4 linked regions of the Caenorhabditis elegans genome follow. The protein of the gene in region 4 interacts with the protein of the main gene of each other region in a pairwise test. Each region holds a gene or a part of one and is shown on either strand. Other genes may lie near its edges.

What was found.
Region 1: the proteins of F52C6.3 (region 4) and mpz-3 interact in a two-hybrid assay, tested with the Caenorhabditis elegans proteins (one large-scale study listed by BioGRID).
Region 2: the proteins of F52C6.3 (region 4) and gst-23 interact in a two-hybrid assay, tested with the Caenorhabditis elegans proteins (one large-scale study listed by BioGRID).
Region 3: the proteins of F52C6.3 (region 4) and zoo-1 interact in a two-hybrid assay, tested with the Caenorhabditis elegans proteins (one large-scale study listed by BioGRID).

The regions. Positions count from the first base shown.
Region 1 is NC_003280.10:6,563,230-6,567,071, reverse strand, and holds mpz-3 (PDZ domain-containing protein), read left to right. Parts: upstream 1-1,675; 5' UTR 1,676-1,721; intron 1,722-1,751; exon of another isoform or gene 1,752-1,824; intron 1,825-1,918; coding exon 1,919-2,017; intron 2,018-2,200; coding exon 2,201-2,281; intron 2,282-2,330; coding exon 2,331-2,525; intron 2,526-2,569; coding exon 2,570-2,704; intron 2,705-2,753; coding exon 2,754-2,954; intron 2,955-3,022; coding exon 3,023-3,238; 3' UTR 3,239-3,278; downstream 3,279-3,842. Other genes in the region: F18C5.5 (Vegetative cell wall protein gp1-like), read left to right, coding at 411-444, 804-870, 912-1,355, 1,405-1,528.
Region 2 is NC_003283.11:3,241,532-3,245,062, forward strand, and holds gst-23 (Glutathione S-transferase), read left to right. Parts: upstream 1-1,752; 5' UTR 1,753-1,763; coding exon 1,764-1,898; intron 1,899-1,940; coding exon 1,941-2,028; intron 2,029-2,505; coding exon 2,506-2,909; 3' UTR 2,910-2,971; downstream 2,972-3,531. Other genes in the region: srj-11 (Serpentine Receptor, class J), read left to right, coding at 1-141, 183-289, 341-545, 596-784, 839-1,105; srj-7 (Serpentine Receptor, class J), read left to right, coding at 3,472-3,531.
Region 3 is NC_003279.8:14,527,975-14,532,551, reverse strand, and holds the start of zoo-1 (Tight junction protein ZO-1), read right to left. Parts: upstream 3,024-4,577; 5' UTR 3,021-3,023; coding exon 2,925-3,020; intron 1,621-2,924; exon of another isoform or gene 1,572-1,620; intron 576-1,571; coding exon 522-575; intron 1-521.
Region 4 is NC_003280.10:1,923,030-1,926,280, forward strand, and holds F52C6.3 (Ubiquitin-like domain-containing protein), read left to right. Parts: upstream 1-1,729; 5' UTR 1,730-1,737; coding exon 1,738-1,849; intron 1,850-1,897; coding exon 1,898-2,224; intron 2,225-2,275; coding exon 2,276-2,430; 3' UTR 2,431-2,691; downstream 2,692-3,251. Other genes in the region: F52C6.4 (Ubiquitin-like domain-containing protein), read left to right, coding at 118-229, 284-474.

The sequences.
Region 1 (3,842 bases), 4.6 Mb from region 4:
CGCCCATTATTTGAGTGTCCTCAAATTTGCATAGCATTGTTGTAAAACCATGTCACAAGTGGGATACTTTACAAAGTATATGTTAAAAATTGACAGCGAACACTAATGTTCTGAACAACATAGAATTAAATAAAAATCTAGCAAGTTCAATATCACGATAATCCAATATATCCCTGTTTGTAAAAACTAATGTTAGCTGAACTTTCATCTTATTGAAGACAGTGTACAAGTGGTGGATATCCATTGTCTTTTTTCATTTTCAACGGGAATTTTCATTGAGATTTCCACAAAATGATGGCTAATTGATAAGGGCAAAACGAGAAATCGTAGGAAGAAAAGTGATAAGAAGCGACGCCTTCGAGGCTTATTCTATCTTTTTCGTCTTCTCATTTTTGTGGAAAGAATCAACAATGAAGCTTCTTCTGTTAGCTGTTTGTGTCATCGGTTAGTTTTTCGATTGTTTCGTTGATTTATCCCTAAATTTAGCTCTAAATGGTAAAGGAAATATTTATCTAATTGGGTTAAAATATGTTCAAATTTGTTTTAAAAAATATTAAGAAAAATACATAACTAATTTATTTGACATATCCAAAACTTCTTAGTCATAACAATTTTACCCAATATGAATTCTGCTTGTACGTCAATAAATTGAAACGTTCTATAAATAACCAAATTTCGATTCTCATATTTTCTTCGTCTTGCACGAAATCGCAAAAAAAACCAGTCCAGAAAAATTGCTTCTATATAATTTTCAGTTGATCAATATATTTGACTTCAAAATTCAATTAATTTCAACATTTCAGGATTCGTTGCATGTTATGAAGTTGTACCGAGAGCAAGTGCTTTAAGACCGAGAGGAGATGTTCGAAGGTTTAACATTTATTCCATTTTTTCTTTAATCTATTCTTCAGATCACCCCTCCCATCATTATCGGCATATGCTCCTTTTGCTAAATCTCTTCGTCCAGCTTCTACAGGAATCCGACGTGCTCCAGCAGTTGTTACACTTCCAGCTCAAAAAGCTAATCGTTCAGTGAAAAGAGCTCCAGCTAAACCACTTCCAATGACACTTCCACTTCTTCCACCACTTCTTCCACTTCCACAATTCATTCCAGTACCTGTACCAGTCCTGTCTGCAGAAGGCCTTCCAACTCTTCCAACTCTTGCTCCACATACTTTCCCAACTTTCACTCCAATTCCTGGAATGCCAACAATGCCTGCATTGACAATGCCACCAAGTTTCCAACGTCTTCTTGGAATCACAACTACAACTATGAAACCAGCTGAAAAAGCTATGGAAACTGTTCAAACTGAAGAATCTGATAATGACACAACGTCCGAAGCTAGAGCTCATAGGTGAATTACTCAAATCAGGAGAAAATAATCTAATATTAATTAATTTCAGCGCCCCAACATACAGCAAAGATCTGAATACAATTCGTTCAAGACTTTCAAAGTTTGTAAGAGGAAGTGAAAAGAAAGTGACAAAAGCAGAAGACAACGCTGATTGGATTGTTCCATTCCATTGATCTCATCAAAATATAATAATTTTAATTAATAATAAATAATTTAATTAATTTAATAAATATACCCGCGTGACATCGTTTGAATTCGTTTTACACAGAAAAAAATCAGAAAATAAAAAGTGAAAAGAGAAACTGAATCAGTTTCAAATATTTCCTTGTCGACAGTTGCTTTCATCTTCGCATCAATCTATTCGGGGTAAGTTAATATTCAGACTGCAAAAAATCAAGCCACCTAGGGGACTCGAACCCCTGACCTTAAGATTAAAAGTCTCACGCTCTACCAACTGAGCTAAGGAGGCCAGCGAGTGCGCTGGGTCCAAAGGCATAGACGCTCGACTAGTTACAGGAGACGCGAGAGTGGGTTGCTGTGAGATAGACACGTACTATTTACAGATGGCAACCAACAACAATAGTTTTCATGTAAAAGGAAAAGAAGAAGTACAATTCGAACGGAAAAATGTGGTTGTAGCATGTGATGTGGTCAATGGAAAGGTAAATAAAGAATCCAACACAGGGCTCGCGTCGAGAGCCGAATAAAACTTCAAAAGCCCTGATGTGTAGAACAGTAGAACACTCTTTAATAAATAAGAAGTCCGGTTGCAATTTCCTTCGAGGCTGTAAAAAGACTCATTTTCAATTCAAAAATCGAAGAGATCTTGAATAATCACATTGCAGATTACATATGTGGATGTGAGTAGCCAACTGATGGGTGTTCTATTTGCTGGTGATGAGATTCTGAATGTCAATGGAGAAACTGTAAGGAATATTTTAAGATTTTCCGTTTCAACTAATCAAACATTTCCAGAACATCAAGACAACTGCTGACTTTATCCGTGCAATTAGTGCAAAACTTCCCGGAAAAGTGACAATTGAATTCATGCGAGACGATCATTGCCTTGTCACTGAAAAACCAATGCCACCACGTCGTCCAAATACTCAAATGGTTGAGTTGACTTTCACTTATCGTGGAGGTGCTGCAACAGGGATTATCATTCATAGAGTTAGTAATCAGGGACAATTTATACTTTCATGGATGATTTACAGATGGCAGTTGATCCAAAAACTGTGACTATTTCAATGGTTCAATCGGCTTCCAATGCGTGTCACTATGTCAAGGATGGAGATATTCTTGTTAAAGTTAATGACATTTATGTTCTTGATCGTGACTCTGCTAGAAAGGTATTGTAGTATTTTTCTTATTTTATTTTAGTAATTAACTTACTTTCAGCTTCTCTACGCGAGTGTCAACAACACAAAAACGGTCCGTCTTACATTGGAAAGATCCACAACTACTGATCCACTTGGTCCTGCTCCACCGCCTCCCGATGGTGCACAGAGCACACCTGCTGGAGTGAAGAAATCTGGAAATTCAGTGATGCTTCCTCCTCCAAAACCACCCCAAGGAAAAGCCAACAAGCAGTTTGATGTGGTCAGTTTGAACCCATTTCCTCTTATCATTTCATTTACCAAAACATGTTTTTATTTTCTTCTTTGCAGCTTCTTCCTCCTGATGTTTTGGAGATTATGAAGGCAAACAAAGATTTCTACAAGAAACCGTGCAAGAATCCTCCATGCATCATCAAAACAACCGCCGCATCAGCCCCTGCTCCAGTTCCAGCCACCTTGCCATCGGATCCTGCCCCAGAAGTTCGCATCCCGTACATTCCGTCTCCGAAGCCCCTGAAAATGACTCCAAAACGTGTGGGATCTTAACTTGAGAAAAGTGTTCGAAATAAAGTTTTCAAAAAGTGTTTGTTTGGTTGTTTACCGTTCTATCCATCCCTAACCTATGCCTAGAGACACAAATATTTACGGTCCTTCAACCTGTGATTTGAAAAAGGCAGGCCTAATTCTATTTATTGTTGAATGCCAGATTGGTTTCTCCTCGAAACCCTCATGAATCTAAAACCTACAGCTTTTACACATTATTTGAAACATTTCTAGTCTCACATCATCGTCCGTTTTTTCTTGCTCCTAGTTGTCTCACAGAGTTGCAAATGTTCATCTAGCAAACGTCTGCGTCTCTATGTCCTACTCACTATTTCCACTAGTTTTTCTTCCTGTCTCTCACTGTGCACGGACAGAGAGACGTACGAGACGGCCGGTGCTGCTTGGTACCGACTCTGTGCGTCTGGTTGTCCGTGTCCGTGTCCGCCCGCCGCTCTCACTCGCCAAAATATGACTGAGAATTGGAAAAAGGCAATGGATGAGAGTGTGTATCTGTCATTTCTGGATGCATACTGGCTCTCATTTTCACTTGATTCGGAGGGATATAGGCCATTTTAACCTAGTCATTCAATATACTCTCTCATTAGTT
Region 2 (3,531 bases), on a different chromosome or scaffold from region 4:
ATCGGGAAGTATCGATATCTTTTGATAGGGTTTGCAATTTTTGATATGGCTTACTCAACTGTAGAGCTAATCGTTCCCGTAGCAATTCATGGTACTGGGGCAGCTTTTGTGATTTACCTAGCTGACGGACCATTTTTTGGGGTGAGTTTGAAAGCTCTACACACCAAATGATTGAACTTCAGACTGGGAAGCTTGGCCAACTAGCTGTCTCAATTCGATGTGGGTGTATTTCTCTTTCATATGGAATCCTTGTCATTCACTTTATCTATCGGTATCTTGTGCTATTTAAGTGAGTTTTATTTTTATTTTTCACGTAAATCCGAAAATTTAAAAATTATAGCACCCGAATAATCGATCGACTTCTCCGGCCGTCCGGGCTATTTGGTCTCTTTGTATTTTTTGTTTTTCACGGAATAGCTTGGAGTTCTGTCTGCGAGATGTGTCTCTATGGAGATCAAGAAGTGTTCGACTACATCTATGACGCTTTTCAAAAAGATTACCATGTGGATTCACATGATTTATCCATGCTAATGGCATTGTTTTTCGTGAGGCTCGAAAAGAGCAAAGAACCAACACTAACCCCTTAAAATTTTAGGATGCAAGTCCCGAGATCAAAAGAAGAAGCTGGATTGGAATTCTGCTGCTGACTGGAATTTCGATATATGCAATTTCTCTATACGTTATTCTTGGATGGAAGATTATGAAAAAGCTGGCGGATAATCCAGGGGTTTCTGCAACGACTCAGAAATTGCATAGACAGTTATTCAAAGCCCTTGCAGTTCAGGTATACATGTTTTTAAAGAGTTCAGAAAAAAATTGTTTAACTAAACATTTTCAGACTTTCATCCCGATCTGCATCAGCTTCTCCCCTTGCATGATGGCCTGGTACGGTCCTGTAATCGGATTGGATCTCGGAATGTGGAACAATTATTTGGGCGTCATTGCACTGTCAGCGTTCCCTGTTCTAGATCCACTTGCTATCATTTTCCTCCTACCCAACTACCGGAACAAGCTTTTTCGCACTGTGAAAATGCCAATCAAATACTTTTATTCTGGAACATCGACTGTCCGACCCAACGTGGATAATTCAGCTCAAGTTTATTGAAAGTTTGAGGAAAAGTGTTGTCCAAGTTGTTATAAAATTTCTTATTTTTTTCCATAAATATTTTTCGCAACGTTCTTTTTTAATCAATGTGAAAGAGTTTTATTTGCATTTCTCGAAATACATGTTTGCTTTATAGATTTTTTCAATAGCCTGCGGACATTTTCAACGTGTCCCTCTTTTCTTACCAAGTTTGCAGACAGCTTACACTTTCTTCGTTTTTTTTTGGTTTTTAAAAACAAATTATTCTCAATTTAGTACTGTAACTTTTTGAACAACTTAGCACTTTTATAACAATGTCGTTAAGTTTGAGTTGGGATGATAGTTCTAGAAAATTATTTTGTCAAGTTTGGAGAATTCTTGTCGATGGGATTATTTTTGATCAATTACAGGAAAAAACCGTATAGAAATTTAAAATCAACACATAAACCTTACTAATTTACAGTTCACAATCGCGTCACACCCCTAACCCGATTATATTTTCGGTTTTTATTGCCGAAAATACAACAACACATGTATGAATTCGTATAGTTGCCCTCTATTATAATATTTTTGCATTTATGTTTTCCCAAATTCTCAAAAGTTTTATTTTTTCAAATTTACCGGAATCATAAAATTTACGTTTTTCTAATTTGGTTTTTCTAATTTATAGACCACTTCGATGACACTCAAGCTCACATACTTTGACATTCGTGGGCTCGCGGAGCCCATTCGGCTCTTGCTCAATGACCAGGAAATCCCATTTGAAGATAACCGTATCAGCCGAGAAGAGTGGGCCGAAATGAAGTCAACCATGGTGATTCATAATTTTTGAAACTATAAAAGTAGAATTTTCCAGATTTTCGCTCAATTGCCGTGTCTTCATATCGGAACTGAAACGATTGTCCAGTCAGCAGCGATTCTTCGTCATCTTGGACGGATTTATGGTGAGCAATCAGAAAATTTACAGTTTTGAAATAAAAAATTCATTCGAATTGATGAAAAAGAAAAAGCCTGTCAAATTGCTTATTAATTGTTTTGATAAATGTTTTGTTTTGAAAAAATCGTTTTTTTTGAGTGAAAATTTTTTTGATTTTCTCAAAATAAAAATTTTCAAAAAAACTTGCAGAATGTATACATCCGAAATCGTATAAAAATTATCTAAAAGTAGTCTTTTGGAGCAATTCTAAACGTCGTCAAATTAGTCAATAAATTGTTTTAAACTTTTGGCTTTATAGTTAGCTCTTCTAGGCTGACTTAATGCGTTTTTGATTACAATTTTTTTTTGATCTCAAAATATCAGTTGGAGAAAATAACGAAAAATATATTAACAATTGTTTTCCCGGCTGTTGAGTTAACATTTTGCAAATCTTATTTAAAATTCAATACAAAAAGAAAAAAAAACAACATCTAAAATTTCTCAGGACTCAATGGCTCCACTGAATCAGAGACCTCATTCATCGATATGTTCTCCGAAGGGCTCCGCGATCTACGCACCAAATATTTCACAATGATCAAGACAGACTACGAAGATGGCAAAGAAGCATACATAACTGAAACTCTTCCCGGGGAGCTACTACGAATTGAGAAGTTGTTCTGCACATTTAACAACGGCGAAAACTTTGTGTCCGGGGACAAGCTGAGCTATGCAGATTATGCTCTATTCGAGCTTCTCGATATTCACCTCATCCTCACACCAACTGCTCTAAATGGCACCCCAGCACTGAAAAGATTTCATGGACGATTTGCAGAGCGGCCCAATATGAGACTGTATTTGAATAAACGGGCCGAACTAAATCCATTCGTCAGTGGAAATGGGAAACAATAAAACTTTCGGATTTTTTTGTGTTAAATTAATTTTGCAATACTAATAAAACTTGTTTCAAATAACTATTGTTTCAAAAAGCAAAACTCAACTGTGAAACCATTTTCAAAAAATGAGCTATCAAAATTTCGAGTACTTAAAAATTAAATTTTTTTAAAGTTTTTTGAATTAACTTATCAAAGTCTATAGGTTTCACGATAACCTACTGCATATAAAACATTGGGTCCTGACACGAAAAACCAATGTAGTAGGAGTAAAACGTTGTTTGAAAATTAATACAGGTGCTGTTTATGAATCAGACCCTGGAGAATACAGATAACACCCACCTCAAGTCTGCTCAATGACGCTATCACACATGGAGGACTTTTTCGACCCTTTTCAGTGTGTTCCTTTGCAAAAACGGAGTTACCATAGCAGACAAATATTCAAGTCACAAAACACATAGTGCCCCAACCCCAAAGGAGTATACTATTTTACGAGAACTCGGCATTTATAAGAAAAACAAGAGGGGAAAACACTTCTACATCTCTTCATCGAGAAGATCCCATTATTTTTCAATACAACTATGATATATATGAACTGGTACCATCAAAATGTTCCCAAAATTTTGGGAGCACTAAGCTTC
Region 3 (4,577 bases), on a different chromosome or scaffold from region 4:
CCGAGAATTGCGGGATTTTAGACGCAGGCTTCTAAACTGGATTCGCATGGTTAAGAGTGTGCTGAGGACAGCTTGGCACCCTAGTTTAGGAAATTATAATAAATTTTTAATTAAGCTCAGAATTTAGTAGATAATTTTTATGAAAATCCGAAATTTAACCGAGTTAGGGGAGTTTTTTTTAGAAACTCAACACATAATTCAAGTAAGGTATAAATAACAAAATTTTCGACTCACTATCAGAAAATAGTTCTTCTATGTACATATATTTGTAACTGTGCTAAATAGATAGGTTGACAGGTAATTGACATTCGACCTGTATCAAGTAACGAGTTTACCTGGAAATTTCTATACAGATTGCCTAAACGGAATGTATACCCCTATACCTATACACAATTGTCCCTTGCATACATGGACGATAAATCATTTATACCCGAGTAGGAGAAAAAAAATGGGAAACGGGTTTTGTTTATGGTCAGGGAGGAATTAGACAATGTTTAAAATATAAACAAAAAGAAACATACTCTGTGTAAGGAGACGGAGAGAAGTTGCCACGTGCATCCACTCGGGTTGTACATCTGGAATATAGGTGATTAGGTGATTTTTAGGTTTTAGAAAAAGATTTTTGAAATGAATATCGTAGGTACAGAGACGTTAGTATACTGGTCTGAAAGAGCAAGAAATTTCCTATTTTTTGGCTAGGACACTTTCTTGCTACTTAATTATAAACAATCAAAAATAGGTGATTTTTAGGTTTTAGAAAAACTGCACAGAAATTGCCGTAATTTTAGATTTAAAACAGTTAGTTTTGTTAATTATGTTGCAACTAAACCAAAGTATAGAAAAAGCATTTGCTAATTGTAAGCTTAACTTTTTAAACTGGTCAAAAGTTTTGGACCGCAGCTACTACATAGAAACCGTACCATTATTATCAATTTCCTAAAAAATCCAATTTTTTATATTAAGAAAACGACTACTTATTTTATAACGGTGAAACTAAAACCACAAACAGTATTTGCCTATACATACAAATTTTTAAATTGTTATTCCTGAAACTTATAAAATAATATGAAAATTCACTATAAGATGCAGAAAAACATTTTTGGCAACTGTTGTTCATGAATGTAAATTACCGCTAAACTTTGCCGAATCAAAAATGGTGAAAGACTAATTTTTCATAACTTCTTGGAAAATAATAAATCAACTATATAGATATAGCATTTGTTAGATACCAATTTAAAAAGTTTCTCTTTTTTGATCTACCCCAAATTATGAGTAATTTAAAACCATATATGTAATGCTATCAATTTTTCCTATAGGTGATAAATTACAGTACCCATACAGCCTAAGAATTCTAAAATCTATTGTAATTTTTCTCATAACTAGGCTACCAGTAGACATCAAAAGTCAAATAAGCGACACACGAGTTGAATAGAAACAAAAAGAGTCTTCTCTCTCTCTCTCTCTTCTAAGAAGGGCATGATATCAATGTCTGGTTAAAACTGGGAAAAGGGGGTCCCTCGGGAAGTTGTGTGGAAGAAGAAAGAAGAAGAAGAAGAGGCTCTTTTTCTTTTTCATACACACACATTTCTCATTTACACTATGTTGAAAAACGAGAAAAAAGTGGATGGGAGGAGAATGAGAAAAGTGTCTCTTTTATTTTTGACCTGACTCTCATATTATTAGACGTTTTGTTTCAGGGGTAGTAAACGCGTTTTGAATGGTTTTCTATCTTTTGGCATTAATTTTTCGCGGTTTTCAAAGAAAGTGTGAGCATGTTCAGTTTTTGCTAGTGGAACAAGCATCGCGACAAAAATGGACAAAATCGTTCAACTATGTAAAAACCTTAATTTAAAGTTGCTTTTAACCCTATACGTTATACCGTTAAAACATACATCTTAAAGGTGGAGTAGTGCCAGTGGGGAAGTTGTTAAAAACCAAAAGTCCCAAAATGATCTAATATCATAATAAAACTTTTCAAAAAATTTTTGAAAATTTTTTATTTATTGTCAAAAAGTGGTGACAATTACTGAGTTTTTGCCACTCATAATTTTGGAAGTCGACCAAAAAAAAATTGTTTTTCTACATTTTTAATTCTGTAATCTTGTTTTAATTATTCGTATTAAAACATTGTAGGGGTCGAAACATGCGGCATACCTTTGGACTTTTTTTCAAAAGCTCTGATTTTTCAAAGTTTTGGCAATATGCCAAAACTTAGGCCGGAAATTATGAAAAATCTAAAATTGTGTTATATTATGATATTTGGTCGTTTTGGATCATAATAAGTGTACTTAGACAATATCCCCACCTTTAAAACGTTATACCTTATTACGAAAAATATACTATGTATAGCCTTAACTTAACGTTACGTTTTAACTTTTTTTAAAAATATTACACGATACTTTATAACCTTTATTTTAAAAACTAACGTTATAATTCGTTACACATGTAAAAACGTTGTTTTAATATGATCGTTCAATTAAAATTTTAACGTTTTTTTAATATATGATACTATAACCTTAACCTTTTAATCTTGTTGATAACGTATAATTTATAACATTTGAAATCAGGCTAAATCTATATTATAGTGTGTAATAAAACGTTGTAACGTATAACAAAGGACATAGCGTTACAGTTAGTTATAGCTTTGATTTTGAAAACGTATCGAAATATTGTAGTGTGAAAGCTCAAATAAATTCTTAAAATTGTACGTGATGACGGTATAACAGCTACCTTATTTAAATACATTTATGACGTCACAACAGTATTAAAATACATGCTTACAGCGGTAACGTTCATTTTCTAAACTTTTTAATTTTCCGACACTACTTGAAAAACATCATTATATTGCTATATCCAACAAAAAAATTGTTAGAATTTGGTATAAAGCTTTAATTTTTTTTTTAGAAACAAACAAAAATACTAACCTCTTCCTCATCCTGATCGACAGGCTCATGTTCCTCCTCAATACAAGAAGACGTACTTGACATGGAGGTCTTGTACCATGATGGGTCCTCTGACATTCTGGAATATAAAAGTTGTTATATACAAAAAGAAAATAATCAAAAATCACAGGGTAAATAGAGGCTAATCGTATATACAAATAGAAGCGGAAAAAGCAATGAAGTTCAGTTTGTTTCTTATGCTTTTTGAAGACTGCGGTTTTTTTTTTAAATTTTGTTATAAAAATTAATATTTTAACTCAAAGAACAATTGAAAACGTTTTAAAGTTCAATTTCAACAGAAATAATAAGAATAACCAGAAAATTCTAATTTATAAGGACAAGTTTTCAATTTTTTAAAGTAACATCGAAAAAAACTGTATAGAAGTAGTAATTAGTATGAAAATTGAAACTTCTTATTGAGAAAAAGTTATAATAGGTCAACTTTTAAATTTAATAATAGTAAAAAAGCCCCGTTTAAAGCGGTTACATTATGAACAAATTAAATTTTAACAAACTCAAATAAAACAAGTTCTATTTAAGTAGTTATCACAGTACTTAAACAATTATAAATTCCAAAGAAATATTGATTTTATAGGAAAATCCTGAACTTTTCCCATACAAAACCCTGCAAAATCCAATAAACAACCTTGAAAAGTTGTTAGTTTAAACGGGGAAAATGTCGTCAAATGGTGTGTTATTCCATTCAATACATACGCATATATCGGGTACGCAGACATTGAATTTGACGACATATTGGTAGGCAGAAGGGTAGGAGAATGGGGAAAAGGGGTCATGTAAAGGAAATTGAATTTGGGATGCGTGGAATTTGGAGTAATTTTGGGGTTTTCTGGGGGGATGGGGAATTGAATTTTTGAATAGTATCGGAGTAATTAGAGATATGAGAGAAGAAAAATAGTAATTGTTTGGAAAATGTGTGTAGTCTTAAATTCAAATTCCATGCAATTGAGTTAGTCAAAAAAAGGAAGTGTATGAATGTTATCATACGTTATAATACATATATGTACATAAATTATATATACCGTACATTCCCTATTAGTATGGCCCCCCGTCAATCGACTTTGTCGGCTCATATTTCAACGGTTTAAAAATATTTTTGATACCTTCAAAAACCAAAGCATAACGATAGATTTGAAAAAAATTGTGTCGTTTGAATTTTGAATTTTTGAAATATGATCAAAGACAACCGAGATATAAACGTACTAAAAAGGGAATATATGGTAAAATTCCATGGTGTGTTATAGAATTCGGTATATATATAATTATATAGGTATATAGATATATAGAATTAAGTACCTATGTATATCGGTTCTAGTTAGCTATTTCTAATTAATAATTATTACAGTCTTGAACGAAAGTTTCAAAACTGTGAGGTATTAGACTTTGTCACTTTTATGCTTTTGTCAAACCAAAGTCAGATGGTTCAATAACCTATTTTCCCAAGACAGTGTATCATATAAGCTTGAAATACAGTCTAAAACATCGATTTCAGAACAAAAAATGGACAAGTCTTGTTTGGTGATTGGCACAAAACACTTCAGCTCAAAAACTCATAAACTGGAAAAAAGTTGATTAGTTTTTTTTTGCAGAATGTAATTTTTGAGCTTGCCGTTGTAG
Region 4 (3,251 bases):
TATTCAACAGAATAAGTTCAAAACTTCCCGAAGATCAAATTTCTGTGGATTGTTACTCTTTTTTCACTGTTTTTTGTTGCAATACTCTCAATAAATTCAACTTTTCCAGCTAAAACCATGCTGCTCTCCGTCAAAACGTCGACTGGAAAAACCATCACAGTGGAGGCGCCGAAAAATGTGAAAACTGAAGTTCGCGACAAACAGGGAGTCGTTTTCACAGTCTCTTACGGTATTTATCGATTTTTTTTTTGGTTTTTATTTCAATATATGTTTATTTTTTCAGGAGAAGTAACCGGAGATCCAATCACTGTTGAAGCATCGGACGCCATCAAGGATCTTAATTTCAAGGTTGCCGAGGCTCAGCGAAAACCGCATCGTGAAGGAATGCGAATTTACGTTAAAACTTGTGAAAAAACGATCACTCTTGACACTGCTGCCTCCGATACCATTGCAAGTGTTAAGGCTAAAATCTAGGAAAAACGAGGTTTTCCATCAAATCTGCAGAAACTATATTTGGGTTAGTACTTTGAAACTGATAGCTTGTCTAATTTCTTTAGTTTTTACAGAACCTTCCAACATTGTTTTGTGCAAGGATCAACGTACTATTTCTGACTACAACATCAAAAACGGCAGTACTCTCCGTTTGGAAGTTCCTGTAAAAGAAAAACTGACGGTTTCTGTGAAAACCTTATTCGGAAAGACGATTCCTATTTCAATCAAGAATACGGATACTGTTGAGACATTGAAGTTCAAGGTTCAGAATAAACACGGTGTTCCACCAGATCAGCAGCGTCTCATTTTCGGTCGGGCACAGCTCGAGAATGACCGTGCTCTGTTCGCCTATAACATTCGTGATGAGGATATTATCCATTTAGTCTCCAGACATCGGTTGTGAAGTTCTCAATTTGATTGCTCTTAATCTGTTGTTTTGTTACTTTTTTGTTTTTTATTGTTGATAAATGTTGAAGGTTTTTTTTTTAATTTTTAAATTAAAAACACTGTCTCAAAATATTACAGGTACCATATTTATGATATATGAGGGTTTTTTTCCAGTAAATTCTTCTGTGTTCTGAATTTCCGACTTAAACATTTTATTTCGATGGTTCAGAAAATTGGTTTTTCAGGTTTTTGGATACTTCAGGCTGATATTTTGAAATACTCGAATTTAATTCAATTTAGCATTATTCAACCCGCTAGAATTTCTGTTGGCACATGTTTCTTCAATTAGAATTTCTATTATTTAAAAAACCACAAAGAATTTAATAAAAAATCAGCGAAACTACGGTAGACGAGGAAGTAGGCAGTTGCACACGATACACATTAAATAATTGACTTTTCCGTTTTTCTTGATTCAGTACTCGAAATGTTTTCATCGAAAACTTAGAAAAAAGTTTTTTAATATAAATGAAATTTCAATAAAATTTGCGCGTCAATTAAAGTGTTCTTTGTGCATTGTGAACTTTTTTTGCTTACCGTAGTTTTGCAATATTTGTTTTTCGATTTATTGACTTTTTCAACGCAATTCTTCTTTATAGCTTGCTTTTTGCCCGTAATTCATCAAAATCTTGATAATAATATTTATTAATTCATTCTATTCATATTTTTAAGAAAAATCATTTCGAAATTATCCAAAAACCAGATTTCTCCCTTGTTTGCTTCTTTTTTCACCGTTGTCCTCGTTTTTCTGTTGCAAAACTCTCAATAATATTTAATTTATAAATTTTTCCAGCTAAAATCATGCTGCTCTCCATCAAAACGTCGACTGGAAAAAACATCACAGTGGAAGCGCCGAAAAGTGTGAAAACTGAAGTTCGCGACAAACAGGGAGTCGTTTTCACTGTCTCTTACGGTATTTATTGTTTTTTTCTGGGTTTTGCATTAAAAAAATCATTTTCAGACAAAGGTACCGGAAATCAAATCATTGAAATGGAGGACACTGTCCAAGATGTCAAAATTCAAGAGGCTCAGCAAGCACCGCTTCGTGAATCAGAAGAAGTGACCGAAGATCCCATCAGTGTCGAATCATCGGAGGTCATCGGAAATCTGAATGTCAAGGTTGCCGAGACTCAGCAAGAACTGCATCATGAAGGAATCCGAATTTACGTTGAGAACGCTGGAAGAACATGCACACTTGACACTTCCGCCTCCGATACCATGGCAAGTGTCAAGGCTAAAATTTGGGAAAAACTAAGAATCCTCCCAAATACGCAAAAACTATTATTGGGTTTGTACTTTAAATATTGAAAGATATGTCTAATTTCTTTAATTTTTACAGAAAACTGGGACCTAGATTTGTTTAGCGATCATAGCACTCTTTTTGACAACAGTTTCGAAAACGGCAGTACTCTTCGTTTGGAAGTTTCTATAGAAAAAGAAATTGACGTTTTTGTGAAAACCTATACCGGAAAGACAATCACCATTTCAATCTAGAATACGGATACTGTTGAGACCTTGAAGCTCAAGATTCAGGATAAGGAAGGTATTCCACCAGATCAACAGCGTCTTATTTATCAAGGATCGCAGCTCGAGGATGACCGTACTTTGATTGCCTATAACATCTATAATGAGGCTACTCTCCGTTTAATTCTCAGACTTCGTGGATGAAGTTCTCAATTTGAATATTGTTAATTTGTTACTTGTTATTTTGTTACTGTTCTGTTTATTTTTGTTGATGAATGTTGAAAAAGTTTAGATTTTTTTGAAATTAAAAATATGGTTTTTAAACAGCCGGTATATTTCTTTGTGTTCTGAATTTCCAACGTAAAGAATCTTTTTCAGTGATTCAGAAAGTGTGCTTTTCAGGTTTTTCGTTAATTTCTGTATTTCTCTATCATAGAATACATTTCAACTCACAAGAATTTTCGTTAAAAACCACAAAAAAATTAATAAAAAATCGGCAAAACTATGGTAGACGAGAAAGTACGCTGTTGCGCACAATGCATGTTAATTGACGCGCAAACAGTTTTTTGTAATATTTTTTTCCTGTTTTGCTTGATTCAGTACTTGAAATGTTTCTTTTCAAATATTATAATAGTTTTTTTTAAAATTTTCTGCAAAAAATGCTGAAATTCTAATAAAACCAAAAAAAAACTCAAAAAACGGCATGCGCGTCAATTCATGCGCATTGTGTTCATTGTGAACTTTTACGCTTACCGTAGTTTGTCGAGATTTGTTTTTCGATTTATTGATTTTTTCGAAACTCTTGCCCATATTAACTTGCTCTTTCTCGCTATTTATCGAAATTTGAATGA